Kluyveromyces lactis: one gene and its partner. The protein of the gene in region 1 purifies or fractionates together with the protein of each later gene. This does not show direct contact. Links are inferred from orthologs where the notes say so. Each region holds a gene or a part of one and is shown in the gene's direction. Other genes may lie near its edges.

Region 1 (11,162 bases):
TGCTAAATGCTGCTGCGATTTGAGCTGCAATTTAGACTGAATGTGATTAAGTAACATCTCAGTCGCAATGCTGTTATCTGACATGGATGGGATGATTGCATCTGCTGCCTTCATGGTTGGTTTCACGAACCTATCCGCATTTGGTTTAACAAACTTCTCCCATTGTCTTATGCAACCATGCAAGTCTCTCCCACGAGAGATGATATCCCTTGTCAATCTTCTAGCTAAACATATATCTAAATCTGCATCCACGTAAACCTTCAAATCCATTAAATCAAGAAGTCTTTGGTCATATAATGCGTAAATTCCTTCAATAACAATAACACTCGCACCATAGATGGTTAAAAACTTATTTGGAATTCTATCATGATCTGTGAACGAATAGGTTGGGATTTTCACCTTCTTACCTTCTTTCAAAGACAGGATACATTGATAAGCTAGATCCAAATCTATTGAATCCGGTTTATCGAAATCGTAGTTATTTTCGAAAGCCTGCTTTCGTTCTTCGACGGTTAACGGTTTATAGAAATTGTCCAACGATATTAATACTGTCCATGGAGTGTTGATTCTTGTCACGAGTTTGGTAGCAACACTCGTCTTTCCAGAACCTGAACTCCCTCCAATACCAATAACATACGGTGTTGTCCAAGGTGGTATATAGCCAGAAGAGTTCATTCTGGACGCCTTGCAAGCGTTTTATGAACACTAAATGTCCTATGCCTGGAACTGTCTATGTCTGTTTTCTGATTCAGATAATGTTTATCTGGAAGGTTTCTATCAGTCATTTGGCATAGTTTTCAACATTTGATATTGCAAGAAAGCCACTCGATGTACCTTTCACGATTAGAAACTAAAGGTGAGGGAAGAAGAAGAAATAAGCGCTACGAAATCAGGTAGAACGCTCTCGCAGCATACCGAATCGCAGTTCATACTATGGGAACCTCAGGTGATGAAAATGGTACTAAACTTACGGGATCAGGACAGCGCAGAGCGAAGAGAACTTATGAAAGCATAGAATCGGTAAATGCAAATACTAACTCATTCTCACCTGCAGATCAAGTTTTGGACAGTAGCCCGGACCCTTCATTGAAGGATGGTAAGGCTCATTATTCGGTTAACTCGATTAAGTCAATGGTTGAGCAAAAAGTTTTGACTAAGAGACAGCGTTCTCAGTTGCACTGGCTGGTTAAAGATCTTCAGATTTTAGAAGATGACATAAAACGTTATGGTTGGAATAACTTAACTGTTAGTGAACGAGAAGAGATATCGCTGAAAAGAGAGCTATTGAAGCTCTTAAATGAAACTGGAAAAGACTATGCTGAAAATGGAGATACAAGTGGATTCAAAATGCAAGATGAGGTCGCATCAAAGAAACAACTATTGACCGCCAAACTTCGAAACAAAACCGATAGGGTGAACTGGGAAGAGGAGCAAATGAAGAAAAGTGTAATTAAGGCAGATGCAGATGAAATCAAAGTTAAGGATTCAGATAATTACGAATTTGTTTTTGATCCTGAGTCCATGATTGATTTTACTGATGATACGACAGATATTTTAGAACCTGTTGAAGACGGTAGATTGGCTGAAGCGTTAGAAGAACAAATTAACAAGATGAAGAGTATTAAAGAAACGAGGAAGTCATTGCCAGTTTATCAATATAGACAAGAAATTTTGGATAGTATTCGGCAACATCAAATTTTGATTGTTGTTGGTGAAACGGGGTCTGGGAAAACCACCCAACTTCCACAGTTCCTTGTGGAGGATGGTTACACCAACGATGGAAAATGCGTGGTTTGCACACAACCACGTAGAGTTGCTGCAACTAGTATTGCTTCAAGAGTTGCTGATGAAATGGATGTAATATTGGGGAAAGAAGTCGGTTATAATATCAGATTTGATGACCGAACAACGCCTGATAAAACAATCTTAAAATATACGACAGATGGGATGTTACTTCGAGAATTTCTTAATGACCCACAACTATCATCGTATAGTGCAATAATGATTGACGAGGCTCACGAGCGCACGTTATCTACAGATATTTTGTTGGGGTTGCTAAGGGGTATTTTACAAGACAGAAAAGATCTTCGACTTATAATTTCTAGTGCAACTATGAATGCTACTAAATTCTCCAAGTTCTTCTTTGATTGTCCGATATTTAATGTTCCTGGTAGACGCTTTCCTGTGGATATTCACTATACACTTCAACCAGAAGGAAACTATATAAATGCTGCGATCACCACCATCTTTCAAATTCATACCACCCAAAAATTACCAGGTGATATTTTGGTATTTCTAACTGGTCAAGAGGAAATAGAATCGATGCAAACAAAATTACTTGAGATTCTTTCCAAGCTTGATAATACAAAATTTCCAGATCTCTTGGTAGTACCTATATATGCCAATCTTCCTCAAGAACAACAATCCAAAATTTTTGAACCTACACCGAAGAACTGCAGAAAAGTAGTGCTTGCGACAAATATTGCAGAGACATCGTTAACAATTGACGGCATAAAGTTCGTGGTAGATCCAGGTTTTGTGAAGGAACAATCCTATTCAGGAGGAGTTTCAAAGCTAGTGACAGTTCCATGTTCTAGGGCATCTGTTGACCAGAGAGCAGGGAGAGCAGGGAGATTGGGTCCAGGCAAATGTTTTAGATTATTTACAAAATGGTCTTACTACAATGAGCTTGAAAAAGTACCAAAGCCAGAGATTTTGAGAACAAAATTGAATCAAGTGGTTCTACTTTTGCTTTCACTAGGTATCAACGACTTACTTCACTTTCCAATGTTGGACAAACCAAAAACTATCCAGCTAAGCGAAGCCCTCGAAAATTTGTATGCCATTGGCGCTCTCAATAGCAGAGGTGCAATCACAAAAGTAGGACAAGTTATGTGTGATTTCCCATGTGATCCTGAATATGCCAAGGTAATATATTCTAGCGTGTTTGAAGAAAGCTGTAATGGTGTTCTACCTGAAATTGTTACGATTGTCTCTATGCTTCAAGAGAGCAACTCTATATTTGTACCGGGACTCAATTCGGAAGAAAAGACAAAACTTTTTGGGTCATTGATGCAGTCAAGTGACCACATGCTATACTTGTGGATATATGAACAATGGGAAGAGAATGGATACTCACGAAGATGGTGTCAAGATTTCAAGTTGCAACATAAAACAATGAAACGAGTATTGAGGATACGACAACAATTATGGAAATATTGTAGGAAACAAGATTTTCTGCTTAAGCATGACCAAAACCTTACTCAACTCAAAGAAAACATGCCTCGTTCCGTCATTGAAGCAAAAATCATTAAATGCTTTATATCAGGATTTCCAACAAATATAGCAAAGCTCTCTAAACAAGGCTATACTAACATAAAGCAAGATTTATCCGTCAGCGTTCACCCATCTAGTGTTATTTTCAACCGAATGAAACAAGAAGGAAAACCAATGAAATACATCCTCTATCAATCTTTGATGCTTACAAGTAAAGAATTCATTAGAGATTGTATAACATTTGATAAATACGAATGGCTCACTGAAACTATGCCACATATTTATAAATGAATCTTTGTATCCCCAGTTAATTGAGGAGTAACATATGCAACATTTTCTAAGAAGCTTTTCAGAACATCACGCCAAATTGTTGGCGAGTCCACCTATGTTCTGAAAAACCAATTGTAGAATAATCGAAATCAAATCAGTTATTTTTCTAATTACTTCTAATGTTCAACAATTTGCTAGCTTCCGATTCAGGTGTTAGTATAGATTTTTTGTACTTTCTTCTTCTGTATTCTAAGGGATTGAGATAATGCGATTTATGGATAGTTATTCAATAAAGAATTCCTGAAATTCAGTGAAAGTTTAAATTGAACACGATAAGCATTAAATCACACTTTAACACAAACCACACTAAAAGATAATTATTACAACGATGTGACTTACCTCCAAGTATAACTAGTGCGTTGAACGCTAAAGGCGGGTAAAAAATGAGTCTGTTGCCTGAAGTTTTCTGCAGGAAGCGTTCCTATCGTATGAAAATCATGCATAATGATACAGTTCTCAGAAAAAACAGTACAAAAACCCAGTTTGTTCAGTTTTAGGTTTATTTTGCGAGAGTCGCAAAGCAAAGTTTCTGACTACTCTTCTAAATATTAGAAAATTGGAATATGTCGCTTTGAATCTGTATTTATCTTTGTTCAGTTTCCAGCTATCTTCCACCGCTGTGGATACTGATATCTACATTCTACAACACCTTCAACATTCAGCTGAACAGAAGGGAAAATATACTGAGATATATCAAAAGTACATCCAGTCTTTATCAAGCCGTTCTAATTTGACAAGATAATCAACTTAGTTATTCTTTTCGGTATATAGTTTAAACTGTTTCGCCAAATAAATACTCTTGTATTTATTAAAAGAAGAAATATCAGTTAGACTTTAGTAAAGCTTAAAGTTGAGTGAGTATTTTTTCATTAGAAAAGAGTGAGAAAAGATACAAAGTGAGATACCACTATGATAATGAGTAGGGGCTCGAATGCAATCAGAATGCTGCATCCTGTCGATTGCAATGAAGGAACTGGAATGTGTCGTATCATTTGGGGTTCTACGCAAAAGCTTTAAGAAAACAAAGGTCTCACCTTTCCGTATAACAAGCTCATGTGCGTCACGGCAGATCACTTATCTATCGGATCCAAAGCTAAATATGGCAAATCCTCTGCACTATTAACCGTCACTTTTGCATCAGTCAGGTTATGTTTTCATTGAAAAGAAACTGAAAAATTAATGATTTCTCGTTGTATAGCAAAATAAATAGGATTTTGCGACCAGCCAATTTTGTATATTAACAGGAGTTACCTTGAGATGCCTTTTTACCATTGGCTAGCCATCAATTCATCCCAAACGTAGTAGTTCCACCTACATGTTCAAGGAAAGATTACTCAACATCCTCAAGCATATACGACCAATGAGTACCGAAACTACTGCCAAATATTATCCAAAAATTGTTGAGTCTGCGCAAGCGGACCAGAGCTTAAAGCTAAACCACACATGTTTCAGGGTAAAGGATCCAAAGGTCACTGTTGCGTTCTACCAGGAACAATTTGGTATGAAGCTATTAGATCACAAGAAATTCCCTGACATGAAGTTTGATTTATACTTCTTATCATTCCCTAATAAGCAGTTTTCGAACAACTCTCAAGGTGCCATTGACGTCTTTAGAGAAAACGGTATTTTGGAATTGACCCACAATTATGGTACTGAATCTGATCCAGCATACAAGGTGAACAACGGTAATGAAGAACCACACCGTGGGTTTGGTCATATTTGCTTCAGTGTCTCTAACCTAGAAGCTGAATGTGAAAGATTGGAATCCAATGGCGTCAAGTTCAAGAAGAGATTGACAGACGGTAGCCAAAGGAATATTGCTTTCGCATTAGATCCTAATGGGTACTGGATTGAATTGATTCAAAACAACGAATCTGGAGAGGGGAACAACTACAAGTTCAACCATACCATGGTAAGAGTCAAGGATCCAATCAAATCCCTTGAATTCTATCAAAACGTCCTAGGAATGAAAATCCTTGACGTTAGTGACCATTCAAATGCTAAATTCACGCTATACTTCTTAGGCTACGAAAATGATCAAAAAGGAATTGCTCGTGGTTCAAGAGAAAGTATCTTGGAGTTGACACATAACTGGGGGACAGAAAATGATCCAGATTTCGCTTATCACACCGGTAATACTGAACCACAGGGGTACGGCCACATCTGCATCTCAAACAAGGATCCAGCTACGTTGTGCGCAGAAATTGAGAAACTATACCCAGATATCCAATGGTCTCCAAAGTTCAATCAAGGTAAAATGAAGAATCTCGCCTTCATCAAGGACCCTGATGGATACTCCATCGAAGTCGTCCCATACGGATTGGGCGTTTGAAGAGCACCAAACTCTCATCTATTTATTTGAAATGTAAATGCAAATTTATGTATCGTTGTATACAATATTCGATATGACACCGTTCAATCGCCATATTACAGCCATAACTGCCGGTAATACTGATAAAGATATCCTTTTGAAGTGACATGAAAGCACGTGACTGAGATTAATATAACTCTTCACATTTTTTTTTTTTTAATTTTTCATTACGCAGCAAACATGCAGCATCCACTAACTTCAGAGATTCCTGTAAGATAAGTGGTTCGTTATTTTCCGGATTCCAATTTTGGTGGTGCTCCGAAAAGTGGAAGCTCGTGATCCTACATGCTCACGAAACCCATCATCATGCAATCCACATTAAAGGAAGGGAAAAGGATATTGAACTTTTGACTATTTAGTATAAATGAAAACTACTTTGTAAGCTTGGACAGAGGAATAATTTCTGATTCGTGCTTCTGCTTCTACTGACTTGCAAACCAGTAAACAAGTTACTGCATTAATCAGTAATAATCTGCGTATAGCGAAACTTGTAACCAGTTTCCTCGTAACAAGGTTAGCAGAAGAATTTGCAAGAGGATCAAGTTGATAAAGACGTATATTTAGGTCTCTGCACGTTTTCAAACTTTTAAGCGAGAATCAAACGATTACAAAAAGGAAAATATTGATACAAGTAATAATAAACTGCAATGACACAATCTTTGCCATTGTTGAACGGTACGGAAGCGTACAAATTAGTTACGACTCAAGGGTTGTATGATAAGACAGTCAAGTTTTACGAAAAGTATTTGCAATTAGTTCATGACAAGCGAGTTGGCACATTGACAAATTCTTTAATCACTCTAAAGCTAGTTGTTGATAACAGCTTCAAGCCATTGGATGTTGTTAACGATAAAGATTGGAGGGCCATTGTGTCATCAGCATTGGTTTTTTCATGTACAAATATCCAACATTTCAGAGATTTGGCTGCTGGTGAAACGATTCAGGCCTATCCTAACGAAACCAACCCAATTGAAATATATTTGAAGGATCCAAACGGATATATCATTGGTATCACTGAAACGAAAAATGCTATTTCTATCAAACCTACGCTGCCTAAGCAATCTGTTGAGGCCTCTTTGATCTCCTCAAGATCTTCAAGAATAGACATTGCTTCTTCTGGTGTTTCCACTGACAGCTCGTATCCAGCGATTCCAAAGACTGCGAAAGCGCAAAAGTCCATCGCCGTTATGACATCCGGTGGTGATGCGCCAGGTATGAACGCAAATGTGAGAGCTATTGTTAGAACAGCTATTTTCAAGGGTTGTAATGCCTTCGTAGTCATGGAAGGTTACGAAGGTCTTGTAAAAGGTGGTCCAAATTATATCAAGCAGGTTTACTGGGAAACAGTACGTAACTGGTCTTGCGAAGGTGGTACCAACATTGGTACTGCTCGTTGTAAAGAATTTAGAGAGAGAGAGGGAAGGTTACTTGGTGCTCTTCACTTAATCGAAGCTGGTGTCGACGCTTTGATCGTGTGTGGTGGTGACGGTTCCCTCACTGGTGCTGATTTATTCAGATCTGAATGGCCTTCTTTGATTCGTGAACTCTTAGATCAAGGAAGAATTAACAAAGTTCAATTCGATAGGTACCAGCACTTGAATATTTGTGGTACTGTTGGATCCATCGATAATGATATGTCTACTACAGATGCTACCATTGGTGCCTACTCGGCATTGGATCGTATCTGTCAAGCAATTGATTACATTGAGGCCACCGCTAACTCCCATTCCAGAGCCTTTGTGGTGGAAGTTATGGGTAGAAATTGTGGTTGGTTAGCTTTATTGGCTGGTATCTCTACATCAGCTGATTACATCTTGATTCCAGAGAAACCTGCATCATCAAGAGAATGGCAAGATCAAATGTGTGATATCATTTCAAAGCATAGGTCAAGAGGTAAGAGAACAACTATCGTTATTGTTGCTGAAGGTGCCATTTCAGCAGACTTAACTCCTATCTCATCTAAGGACGTTCATAAAGTCTTAGTGGACAGATTGGGTCTAGATTGTAGAATTACTACACTAGGACATGTCCAGAGAGGTGGTACAGCCGTTGCTTATGACCGTATTCTTGCAACATTGCAAGGTGTGGAAGCTGTCAATGCAGTTTTGGAATCAACTCCAGATACCCCTTCTCCTTTGATCGCTATCAATGAGAACAAGATCACTCGTAAGCCTTTGGTTGAATCAGTTCAACTAACCAAATCTGTTGCGGAAGCAATCCATTCCAAGGATTTCAAAAAGGCTATGCAATTGAGAGATTCGGAATTTGTTGAGCATTTGGATAATTTCATGGCAATCAATTCTGCTGACCATATCGAACCTAAGTTACCAGAACACACCCATATGAAGATTGCTATTGTCAATGTCGGTGCCCCAGCTGGTGGTATGAACTCTGCAGTTTATTCGATGGCTACGTACTGTATGTCTCAAGGTCACAAACCATATGCAATTTACAATGGTTGGACTGGGTTAACTAGACACGAATCCGTGAGATCTCTAAACTGGAAGGATCTTTTGGGATGGCAATCCCGCGGTGGTTCTGAAATCGGTACCAACAGACATACTCCTGAAGAAGCTGATATCGGTTTGATTGCTTACTATTTCCAAAAGTATGGATTCGATGGTATCATCATTGTCGGTGGTTTTGAAGCGTTTGTCTCCTTGCATCAATTGGAAAGAGCAAGAGAGAACTATACAGCCTTCAGAATCCCAATGGTTTTGATTCCAGCCACTTTATCCAACAATGTTCCGGGTACCGAGTACTCCCTCGGTTCGGATACCGCTCTGAACTCTTTGATGCAATACTGTGATATTATCAAGCAATCTGCTGCATCAACCCGTGGTAGAGTTTTTGTTGTTGATGTTCAAGGTGGTAACTCTGGGTATCTAGCCACACATGCCGCTGTTGCTGTGGGTGCCCAAGTTTCCTATGTCCCAGAAGAAGGTATAAGTTTGGAGCAACTAACGCAAGATATTGAAAACTTGACGGAATCATTCAGCGAAGCTGAAGGTAGAGGTAAATTCGGACAACTTATCTTGAAGTCCACCAATGCCTCTAAGGTGCTTACTCCTGAAGTGTTGGCTGAGGTCATTACTCAAGAAGCTGAAGGTCACTTCGATGCCAAATGTGCCATCCCAGGTCATGTCCAACAAGGTGGTCTACCTTCTCCAATTGATAGAACAAGGGGTACTAGATTCGCCATCAGAGCTGTTGGTTTCATTGAGTCTCAACACAAGGTATTAGCAGCTGAGGCAAATCTGGATGATGACGACTTCGACTTTGATACACCAAAGATCATAGCAACTGCATCAGTCTTAGGTGTTAAGGGATCTGACATTGTCTTTAGTTCAATCAGACAATTGTACGATTTTGAAACTGAATTGAACAAGAGAACCCCAAAGACTATTCACTGGCAATCGACTAGAACCATTGCGGACCATCTTGTAGGAAGAAAAAAGCTATGAAATTAAAAACGTATCTGCTTCCTCAAAATTCCCACTGAAATGGATGTATATTATTATGTAAACTGCATTTATAACTCTCAATGACAAACGATTAACATTTATGACATATCTAGTTACTACTCACCTCCTGGTATCAATTTATAATCCCTTTTCTCTGGAAAGAGTCCTTCCTACCCTAGTTACTCATTTTTATACTGATCGATGCGGTGCTTAAAAAAACAATAAATAAATAAAAAAATAACATGCTATTACATACGTAGTCAACGTAAACAAGTGAATTCACCAAAAGACTATAGTCGAAACAGGATATAATAGGTATATTGAGTGAAGCAACCATCTGGAGCACTGTACATTTGATTGTATTAGAAAGCATTACTCTTAGCTTTACCTTTTTCAAAGATGGCCATTATGGGATCACCAAAGAAGAAATCTTCCGGCCCTTTCCAATCACTGAAGAATTCGTTTCTGCGAAATAAGGGACAGCCACCACAACTGCAACCCTGGAATCCTCAGGTAAGAACTGATAACACTAAAAGGAAATCTGTACAGAGGACAACTTTGTTCCGTCATGACTATGTGAAGGTGCGAAGTTGGCCGTCCGATAATCCAAAAAACATCAATGTAATACTGAGCAAGACTAGCTTCGAAATATATGAAATAGATATGGGAAACTCGAAAGAACGGATGAATTACTTGAGTTTAGGTAAAAAAGATCAGTTTGTGCATCCAATTCTGCCGAAACTAAAGGTTGGAAGGGTACCGTCGGATCAAAAACAAGAATTTAAAATCATCATTTCCCTATTCAATCCGGAAAGATTCTGGGAAGTCACATTTTTATCCATTAACCACGGTCGCGTACCTCGTAAAGTTATCAACGACCTTGAGCAAGTGCTATCCAAAATTTGTCAGTATAACAACAAAGATCCTGACAATGCTTCACTAAAAGACACTAAGAATGATACGAAGGCGATACCCTCGCCGAAGATTGACATCCTCGAAGAAGTGGATGATTTGGAGTATCTATTGGCTGAGAATGTTCCTGACCAGGAGCAGATACCAGAAGCAGAAAGTCTGGAACTAAATGAATCATCAACCATATCTTCCATCAGTATGGAACACTCACTAGTACAGTCTGGAGATGTCGTAAATAAGACATTCAAACAAGCATTAGGAAGAATAAAACCCATTGACTTTAACACAAGAGCAGAAAGCAGTAGGTACAAAAGGTTCAGCTCTTTTCACTCTGCATTTTTAGATGTTCCTCGCATAAGCGCAGAATATCAACATTCTTTACAAGATAAAAGACGGTCGATCAGTGTTCCGACTGCAATTGATTACAAGTCTGTTTCCAATCACGACATGAGAAAGGGTGTTGATTTTGACAAGGTAAGTTGGATGGATGTCACATTCGAAGATTTTCCGGAGATATGACCGACAATATTGCAGGCATTGTAGCAGTATTCCAGGTTTTTCCTACATGTCAATTTATAACTCAATGCACAAACTGAATTATGTATGTGGCGGGTTCTACGTACATTGGACCATAAACTCAACAATTTTTTGTTTAATAATCAAGATATCGTATTGAATATGTTATCGGTATATATACATGTATGTATATTTCTTAAGATTAGTGTTGAGTCTTATCATCTTAAGTTGAAAATATCACCATTTGTATTTTGTTATATATACTTGGCTATGAACAAGAGTTTGTAGTTTAT
Region 2 (9,854 bases), on another chromosome or scaffold:
AACAAGAAGATTGGGTATGAGAGGACAATCAAAGTACCATTACTGTGGACTCAAGCTTGTTTCTCCTTTCGCTACTTCTTCAGATTTAACACCGACAGGGTCGTCGAATAGTGACACGTCAAGTGCAATGTTGTCTACCAGTGGGACAACTTCAAGTCATTCAAATAATGAAAATTCAATATCTTTGAAGTATGAGGGTGATTCTCAGCATTCTATAGACTCACAATCCGATCATAGCAATGGAATAAAATCCATACAGCCAAATGCCATGTTGGGGAAACAATCTTCGGTAAGTGATCCATTAAACCAGTTATCCGAAGATATTTCATTGGACGTGACAGGAAATATTCAAGGACATGATGCTGGTGTTAAACCGGTATTATCGGCTGAAACAAGTTTTAATACGTGTTATGATGAAGGATACGCTTTACTACCAGATTTCTTCGCAGTAACATCAGAAGCCAAAGTGGAACTACCTATTGAATTTCCAGACTTGCAAAAGTTTTTACCGGTAAATCAGTCAGTTGATCCTGATATTGCTTCCAGTGTTAACTCCCTATACCAAGTTTATTGTAATACTTTGTTTGAAAATATACGGTTCATGAAGTTTGATGATCTTCCATTAACATTGCAATCATTTTCATCGAGTTCAATATCATCAAAAATGTACAACTTGTTTATTTCTGAAGAATTGTACAGATGGGTTCATCAATCAGACCTACTTACTCACAAGGCTCTGACCAAGATGCTTTCGAGTTTGATTGTTGACTTCAACGAAATTCCAGAGGTTGTGTTCAACAAATTGTCAGACTTTTCAAATGAGTATATGAAGATGGTTGAGCAATCTACCATGGATTTACCATTACCGATGGTAACCTTCAAAAAGAGTGTGGCACAGGCGTTTTGCCGTCTTGTGAAAAGGCTCGTGAAAGTGATTGACAACAGCAAGAAATTATCAAATATCATGAGTAAGCAAGAGAATAGATTATCAATGTTATACGTCTGGGAACAGAACGTTAAAGTGTCCGAACTAATAAACCAAGAGTTTTCTTACTTCAACCACCCTGCTTTAGAAAAAGATATGCAAGAACTCTTTTCAGTGCAGTTATTGGAACTTCTTAAGAAAACGGATGAGGATTTTGATCTAATCTCTTTCGTTAAAATGGTTTTCGGAGTGCTTTCAAACAAGAGTCTACCTCCTAGATTACTAGTATTGACTTTCAATTCTTTCACCGCTGCTTGTACGAAAGAAATATTAACGAACTCAAACGAAAATTTTGGATTGTGGTGGATGTTCAAGGCCTTTCTAGATGAATGGATCTTTTGGTATGCCGAAGTTGGAGGATTCCTCAAAGATTGAACCTCTGAACTTTAATTTTGATAGATTGTTTTTCTACGCTAAAGTTACCTTTCCCACTAAGAATATTACTCTTTAAACCTACTCCATCTCCTATTCGTTGTTTTGTTTTTGTTTTTCTTGTTTAAATTCGATTTACCTGCCTTTATTACCATTCGTTATCGTTTCTATTCCTTTAATCTATTATTCTATTCAGAAACGAATAAAAAAACGAAAATTGGACTTGTTTTCCCATCTAATTGAACCATTCCTAATCTTCCCATTAATTTTGTATCTATTACCATACCCATTCTTGCATTTACGTGGTAATTGTCGTTCTGCTCTTTTCCTTTTCATGATCATTAATTGTACTATTGTTTTTGGACCTGTCAATTCATTCGACGACTCAAGTGAGCTCCAAAACGAATGCCACAACCAACTTCTGATCCTGGCGAAACTTTCCAGTATCATCGCAGGTCATCTTTATATATATCTAAGTGTTGAAAGTAAATAAGAGTTTTGATATCCATAGTTTTGATCTTTTTATTAAATTACTACATCAACGAAACCACAATAAAATGCTATGTCGCATATCCCTTCTTTAGAGATATTGATTAAAGTTTCATACATCGTTAAGAGCAACACAAACAGCACCTTTGTGATGTCCTCCATACTGCCTTACAATTTCACTTGTGGAAAGGTCCCATAATCTTACATAATGATCAGAGCATGCTGTGACTAGGTATGCACTGTCTGCTGAAAACGCACAATCCCACACCCATCTCTGATGACCATCTAAAGTGGTTTCAAGTTCAAAATTATCCTCTATATTCCATACTCTAGCTGTATGGTCTGCTGAACATGTTGCTAAATGTTTTACATCCGCCGATAGTAGGACCCTGGTAATATATTTAGTATGCGATTTGAATTTAGTTACGGGCTCCAAAGTGGAAGCATCCGTGTGATGAGGCATCTTCCATACATAACAGTTCCCTTTGTTATTTCCTGCAACAAGCATCGATCCGTCGCTTGCAACGGACAACGACTGTAATGGCGTGTTATCTTCTGGTGTCAGCTGGTTTGTGCACTGGTTTTCACCAAGATCCCAAATCCTGATATTCCCATCCTGATCGCAGGAAATCAATTCCCCTTGGTTCGGATGTATCGCTACTTCATTGACAGGTGCATTATGCTTGTAATTCCTTTGCACAGATGGGGACCGTACATCCCAAACCTTAATAGTCCCATCTTCACTAGACGATACCATCCATCGATTTTCCTGTTGAAATGCAATCGACGTTACGTTCCCTTTATGGCCTTCGAAAGAGGACACCGGATTTGGATTATTCGACCGTATATCATAAAGACGGACGTGTAAATGACCAGCAGCAGCCAAATATTTCTTATCGGACGTAATCTCTAATCGATTCACTTGGGAATCTGCATGTTGAATGGTTCGTGAACAGACTCCAGTCAAAGCTTCCCAGAACCTAATTGTGTGGTCGTATCCAGCACTCGCTAGAATAACAGACATGGCAATATTGAAGTTAGTCTGACCGTACACAATAAGAAACCTCTACCTTGTTCACAGGGGAGAAAAAGCCTTGAAAACTCCTCAGATTCCTTAAGACTTTCTTTCATCTAGTATATTGCATATTCTTTATCACATTAAACCATAATTTGTCAATATTCATGATTGAGATATAAACAACAGCAATTGAAACAAAAGTGGAGGCATAGAGATAGCCACAAGATTGTGTAGTGGCTAATGTCATTGAATGACACCTGATTTGCGGCTTTGTGATGACAGATTTGTATTGGTGGGAAACTTCTATATCACGTGATTGTCACATGAATCTCGCGTGCTTAAAGCATTCATGTTTTTTTACTTCTAGAAGGTTCCAGGGTATACTCTGAAAGAACATGATCGGTTGCAACAGAACTGAACCTGAATATATAGGAATGAAATGTTATATAAAGGTTTTCAAAGAACAGGATGTTTTTCGTTCAAAGATTATTGGTCGTTGGTATTCGATCGACATGTTTAGAGAAGAGTTTTATTGCATCTTTTGTCCCATTGGTATCTCGAAACAGTGTAAACATTAACTGATTCTTTTAGTTTACTCTAATTCTTCTAGTTTAGATAGAGCTAATTTGAACTATCATTCGACATATATACAAAAGGACAATTACCAAATTTGAAACGTCGTAGGAGTATGGTTAAGGACACTAAATTATATGATTTGCTAGGAATTTCGCCTAGTGCAGGTGAAGCCGAGATTAAAAAAGGGTACAGAAAGGCTGCCTTGAAGTATCATCCAGATAAGCCTACAGGTGACACTGAGAAGTTTAAAGAAATCTCTGAGGCTTTTGAGATTCTTTCAGATGCTCAGAAGAGGGAAGTTTACGATACTTATGGTCTAGAGGCTGCTCGTGGTAATGCTCCTCAATTTGGAGGAGCGGGAGGGCCTGGTGGGCCTGGTGGGCCTGGAGGATTTTCTTCTGGTGGGTTTGCCGGGGGACATGCGTTCTCACAAGATGACGCTTTCAACATCTTTTCACAGTTCTTTGGTGGAGGAGGTGCTGCCGGAGGTGCTTCTCCATTTGGATTCTCTGCTAGCGGCGGGTCTGGTGATGATTTCGGGTTTGGAGGCAGTAGTTTCCATTCCTCTTCGGGCGGCATGCCAGGCGGTATGCCAGGTGGAATGCCAGGTGGAATGCCAGGTGGATTCAGTAGACAACAGGCTAGACCTGAAGAAGAAGTTGTTCAGGTCAATCTACCTGTGTCCTTAGAAGATTTATTCAGCGGTAAGAAGAAATCATTCAAGATCACAAGAAAAGGCGCCGGTGGTGTGTCCGAAAAGAACCAAATTGACATCCAATTGAAACCAGGTTGGAAAGCAGGTACCAAGATTACTTTCAAAGGTGAAGGTGACTATAATCCAAGAACTGGTGGTAGACAAACATTACAATTCGTTCTACAGGAAAAACCACACGAATTTTTCACCAGACAAGACAATGATTTGATTTACACTTTACCACTTTCTTTCAAAGAATCTCTTCTAGGTTTCTCCAAGCAAGTACAAACCATCGACGGTAAAACAATTCCAATCACAAGAACGCAGCCAATTCAACCTACTCAAACCTCAACATATCCCGGACAAGGTATGACACTGTCAAAGAATCCTTCCCAAAGAGGTGATTTGATTATTAAGTTCAAGATCGATTATCCAACCTCTTTAACACCTCAACAAAGACAAGCCATTATGGATAACTTCTGAATGAAAGATGAAGAATGTCTTTATAACGAAAATAAATCATAAAAGTATGACATGACGATTGCAAATTTAGACTTCTGACGGTGATCATGTTTACAATTCAACGTCTGCCAGAAATATTATCTTCCCACCATTATGGTTCTATGTCATATGTTTTCATTTCTTTAAATGTTTACTCCCATTAATTATTTCCAATTCAAATGTTCCATTCACATTCACTTCAGCAGAAGCAATCTTATCGTATGGCTACATTGTCTGTCGATTAATGCGTTAACTTTCTGACCACACTGTACACTATTTTCAAAAAAATATCCTTCGGTAAATGAAGCACGCAACATAAGTTGAGGACGCAATATAATATGCGAGAGAATACAAGGAGAATTATTCAATGATTGTTAATACTGGTAAAGTAAGAAACGGGACGTTTCATTGTGACACCTCGACTTCTGTTCACAATGTAACCATTTGCATAGATTTTAACCTTCATTTACCTTTTTATTGAGCAAATGACATCATGCAAATAAAAGACATACCAATCTGCAAGTTTCCCGACTTCTATTTGGTTCCGAACAATTGATGTCTGCCAAAAAAAAAAAAACTCCAAGTATTATTATCAAATCTTCTATCTACCTCATACATTTACCATTACTTTTTGCCATTACTTCAATTGAAGACGTAATGGTGTCTTCACACGCGCATAAATAATTTACAAATTTATATATACGAATACAATGATATACAACATCGACACAGGGTACAAAAAACAGTCGTGACGAAATACGTTTTTCAATGATTAAAAATATTCTACAGTGTACATAACCTAAATGATAAACTCTATGCAGTTTTGAAATTTCGATCGATGATATGAAGGACTTAGATTGTAGTCGTTTATTTCTTTGACTTCTTCTTCTTCTTCTCGGAAGACTCATCATCGTCAGCCTTTCTCTTCTTCTCCTTCTTCTCCTTCTTTTCCTTTTTCTCCTTCTTGTCCTTCTTCTCCTTCTTTTCCTTCTTGTCCTTCTTTTCTTCTGGTGTCTTTGATTCTTCCTTTGATTCTTCCTTCTGTTCGACTTCCTTCTTTTCTACTTCTTTGATCAGTGGTTTTTCTTCTGATTTGGATGCAGGGGCGGTAGTTGGTTCAGCATTCTCCAATGAAACGTAAGTCTTCTTCCAGGTCTCTGGAGTATTTTCGTTGGCACGGCCATATTTGTCTAGCTTACCGTCAGCCTTCATTTGTTTTTTCTTTTGGGCAATTGGACCAAGACCCCATCTTCTTGGATATAGGTCTCTTTCCATGATACATCTCTTAACCTTGGCAACAACTCCGTGGTCACAAGTAGCTAAATCGACAGTAGACATTTGAGCAATGGCAACTGCAATGGCCTCACCCTTGGTGGTGATTAATACAACTTCGTCATATAATTCAATACCTTCCTCATAACGAAGTAGACCTGGAATCATCAACTTGGCACCGTAACAAACAGCGTTAACAGCAGAATCTTTGACAACAATTCTTTTGTAACCGACTAATAGAGTTTCTAATGGTTGAATGATCTTTCTTAGGTAGGATTCATCCCTGGTGTTATCGTATACCCATTGTGCATCCATAACATCATGTAGGGTGACCAAGTTATCGTTTTCGGACAAAGCACCGGATCTAACACGACGCAACTCTTGCATATGGCCACCGACACCTAAAAGCATACCAAGATGGACACATAAAGTTCTCATATAAGTACCAGCTTCACAGGAAGCCCAGAAAACACCCAAGTTCCTCTTGTTGTCAAATTCGATCAAGTTGGAGTCATAAATGGTACGGACACGTAATTGACGCTTAACAGCAGAAATTAAAGGAGGTCTTTGGAACAAAGCACCAGTCAAATTTTCTAAACCTCTGCCCAATTCCTTCTCGTCCTTAAGGGCATCGTGCAATCTAACGATACAAACATACTCTTTACCAGCACCTTGTTGAGACTTGACCAATCTGGTAGCTCTGTCAACACAGACGATCAAACAACCAGTGACTTTAGGATCTAAAGTACCAGAATGACCTGTTTTTTCGCAACGCAAGATACGCTTGATCCAAGCAACAACTTCGTGAGAAGATGGGTTTGAAGGTTTGTCCAAATTGATGACACCAGAACTGATATATGACTTCAAATCTCTCTTCAAAGGAGAGGCACCAGCTGGAATTGGTGTGTAATGACCACTTCTGACTAATAGTTTGTCATAGTCCTTCAACAATAAAGGCCACTCACTAGTGTTACTAGATGGTGAAACACTCTCTGGCTTAATAACAAATTCGTCAGACATCGATCTCTATCTTACTTATTAGCTTTCTAACGAACAATCCAGTACACTATCTCCTTCAAATATCGAGAGAAAACAATAAAAGGATAGTAGCAACAATATCGTAAAGCAGAATCTACACTAAAGTGACAGTTTTTAGTCCAGTAAGATGAATCTACTTCTAATAGAACTCTATACTTTTCTTGTTAAAGCTCATCTCATCTCATCGTCTTCATCAAATTTTTTTCTTCAGGTAGAAAATTTTCAGATATCTCAAAAAGCAATTATTTCCGGGTAATGAATTATATTCACCTTGACGTTTAAGTATATATGACAGACATTGGAAATAGCATTGCCAAGTGAGAGTAGTTTTTATAGCCTTCTAGGAAGTGAGTTTGCATTTTTATTTAATGGACTAAACTAGCTGCTAATATGTTCATTATGTTAGGTTAAATTCTGTTAACTTAGTACGCTGTTTTCATTCAGATAGATTCCAAGTACTTGGCGTTATAGTTGTTCTTCAAAGCGCTAGCCCAGTTCCTAGTGGATAACTGTGCGATATTTGAAGTTGAATAATCTGTCTCAATTCCAGTTGAAAATATGGAATCTTCTTTGTCTGGCGATAGCTCTGATGTGTTTTGGTTTTGCTTCCACTCTCGGAGCTTTTGTATAATTTGTTTAGCGTTGTGTTTCGACCTTGAGGAACAGTTGCTATTCACATTGGCTACTTTAAGCTCACGGAGTGAATCATTAAAACCTTGTTTTTGTTCTGATATGTAGTGTAACTCTTCGTTTCTATTGTCTTTATTTTCTATGCCATCACTAACACTTGTAATGGTGATCGCAGGTTTGTATTCTGGTTTGGGCTTGTTGGAGACCATATTGTCTCTGATATTTTGGAACATATCTCTTTTCTTCATAAAATAATTCAAAGTCCGGTTTGTAGACCCGAATCTATCCACATTATTGCTGTATATGGCACTAAGCGCAGATTCTGCTTTAAGAGTAACTTTTAAGGCACTACTTAAAGTTTTCTCGTAATTAGTCCTGTAGCTTTGTAGTTCATTATGATACATGTCAGCATTTTTATCTATTTCACGTTTCATCGCTAACAACCTTTTTTGAAACTTCTCATTGAAAAATGCAAGGTCTTCCTTCTTCTTTTTGATAACCTCGTCATGTTTTGACTTTAAAACTATGTTTTCATTACTTAAAATTGCAACTTTTGTCTCAAGTCCCCTGTATCTGCTCTCATTATTTTTTATTTCTGTCACCTTGTTGTCTATTATCAGATCCAATAGACTGATACGGTGGTTTAACTTAACGATTTCCTCTTCTTTTGAATCCAATGCCTTCTCGTAGTCTGTTCTGTCCCAAACCTTTAAAATTCTGCCTCTTTCAGCCTTTGAGAGATCTTTTAATTTAGCAATTTCCCTTTCATGCTTCACTGACAAAAGCTCCAAATCCTTTGCCTTTGTCTCCACTTGCTTTTTCAAAGAACGATTTTCTACCTCCAATGAGCTTATTATAATGTTTTTTTCCGTGACAATGTCCTGTAATTGACGATATGCACTGGCAACTGCCTTCAAAGATTCATTTTCTCTCTCTAACAAAGAGCAATTCTCGGTATAGAACTCACATCTCTCTGTAAGTTCGTTCATTTCGGCATTATGTTCCAATTTTAGAATCATTTCGGTTTGCATTGTGCTGAAATATTGGCATATATCATTCAAATATACCATTAATGAATCAATTCTATCTTTTGTATCTTTCTGCCACTCTTCGTAAAACTCTTGACTGAAAAACAGATTTAAAACACCGGTCATGCCTTCCATTGCGGTATTCACAAGTTCTAATGATGAATTATTGTGCGCCTTTTGTCTAGAATACTGAACTTCTACCTCCTGTAAAGTACGTTCAAGATCATTCAACTTCTGAACATGTATAGTGGTCAACTTGGAAAATTCTTCCTGTTTACTCTCATGTGCAGTTGAGTCGATGAGGCGCTGCTTTTCTAATCTTTTCACCATATTTCTTAAGTGATTGTTCTCTTTCAATCCTACATTAATGTTTCTCCATAAAAAGCCTAATATTTTGGCTAAACATGGATGCAAGCACGTTAAGGATAGCCTTAGATCGTTACACTCCTTTAACTCTTCTGGGGCACCTACTAATTCGAATAATGCAGTCATCCTCTCCTTAAGTGATAGATCTGGGAATGGAACCGGTCCAAGTTTTGTAACATCTTCGAACTTGTTGTAACTGTCAGTATATTTGAAGATCCTATTAGATGTGGACAATACCCCATTTGAAGTAGGGGGAATAGTATGATTTTTATTCCGTTCTGTTGTGCATGGTGGAAGATTACTATCGAATAGCTGTATTTCGTGGCCATCTTGTGCAACAAACCCTACTTTTCTCCGTAGCTGAACCTTGGAACTTTCATGGTCGTTCTCGACACAAAAAGCAGGAGATTCTGGATCTGAAATTATCTTCTCCTTGTTCTCTGCATCTTTAAACTTTTGCAAAGGACTTGGTTCATTTATATTAAACACATTAGGATCAAATATACATTCCTTTTCGAGATCCTCATATCTAAATTTCACAGATTCCATGTAATATTTGGCAAATTTAGAGCATTTTTCCACGTACGTCTTTGATTCCCTATCGTTTTGAAGAAGCTTCTCGATCTTTGATAGCCTCGTGTTTCCATCTCCACAAAAATCTTGTTTATCTTTCGTTTCATCTTTTTTTTTACCTAAATGCTGATTTTCAGACATTTCATTTACATCAACAGCAGTTGCACTGCTGCTGTCGATCTTGCTTTCGTCGATAACATTTGCAGAATGTGCATCACAAGTAGCTGAGAGCGGAGGCGGATTGTCAAATCCAGATCTGACCGAAGAATACGACAAAATCTCCACCTCTTCACTGACAGGCTTACTTTCTTC

The links.
Region 2: the proteins of PFK2 (region 1) and SIS1 purify together in Saccharomyces cerevisiae (affinity purification with mass spectrometry; 3 studies listed by BioGRID). This does not show direct contact. The link is inferred for Kluyveromyces lactis from reciprocal best matches to the Saccharomyces cerevisiae genes PFK2 and SIS1.

What each region holds. Positions count from the first base shown.
Region 1 is NC_006042.1:602,056-613,217, forward strand, and holds PFK2 (6-phosphofructokinase subunit beta), read left to right. Parts: upstream 1-6,624; coding exon 6,625-9,441; downstream 9,442-11,162. Other genes in the region: uridine kinase URK1, read right to left, coding at 1-675; DEAH-box RNA-dependent ATPase PRP2, read left to right, coding at 934-3,567; lactoylglutathione lyase GLO1, read left to right, coding at 4,922-5,938; INP1 (Inp1p), read left to right, coding at 9,841-10,872. UniProt on the Saccharomyces cerevisiae protein: Catalyzes the phosphorylation of D-fructose 6-phosphate to fructose 1,6-bisphosphate by ATP, the first committing step of glycolysis.
Region 2 is NC_006040.1:406,378-416,231, reverse strand, and holds SIS1 (type II HSP40 co-chaperone SIS1), read left to right. Parts: upstream 1-3,552; coding exon 3,553-4,617; downstream 4,618-9,854. Other genes in the region: RFX1 (Rfx1p), read left to right, coding at 1-1,360; TOR complex subunit LST8, read right to left, coding at 1,959-2,870; pseudouridine synthase CBF5, read right to left, coding at 5,503-6,927; KLLA0_D04774g (uncharacterized protein), read right to left, coding at 7,386-9,854. UniProt on the Saccharomyces cerevisiae protein: Required for nuclear migration during mitosis. It is required for the normal initiation of translation. Might mediate the dissociation of a specific protein complex of the translation machinery. Essential for viability.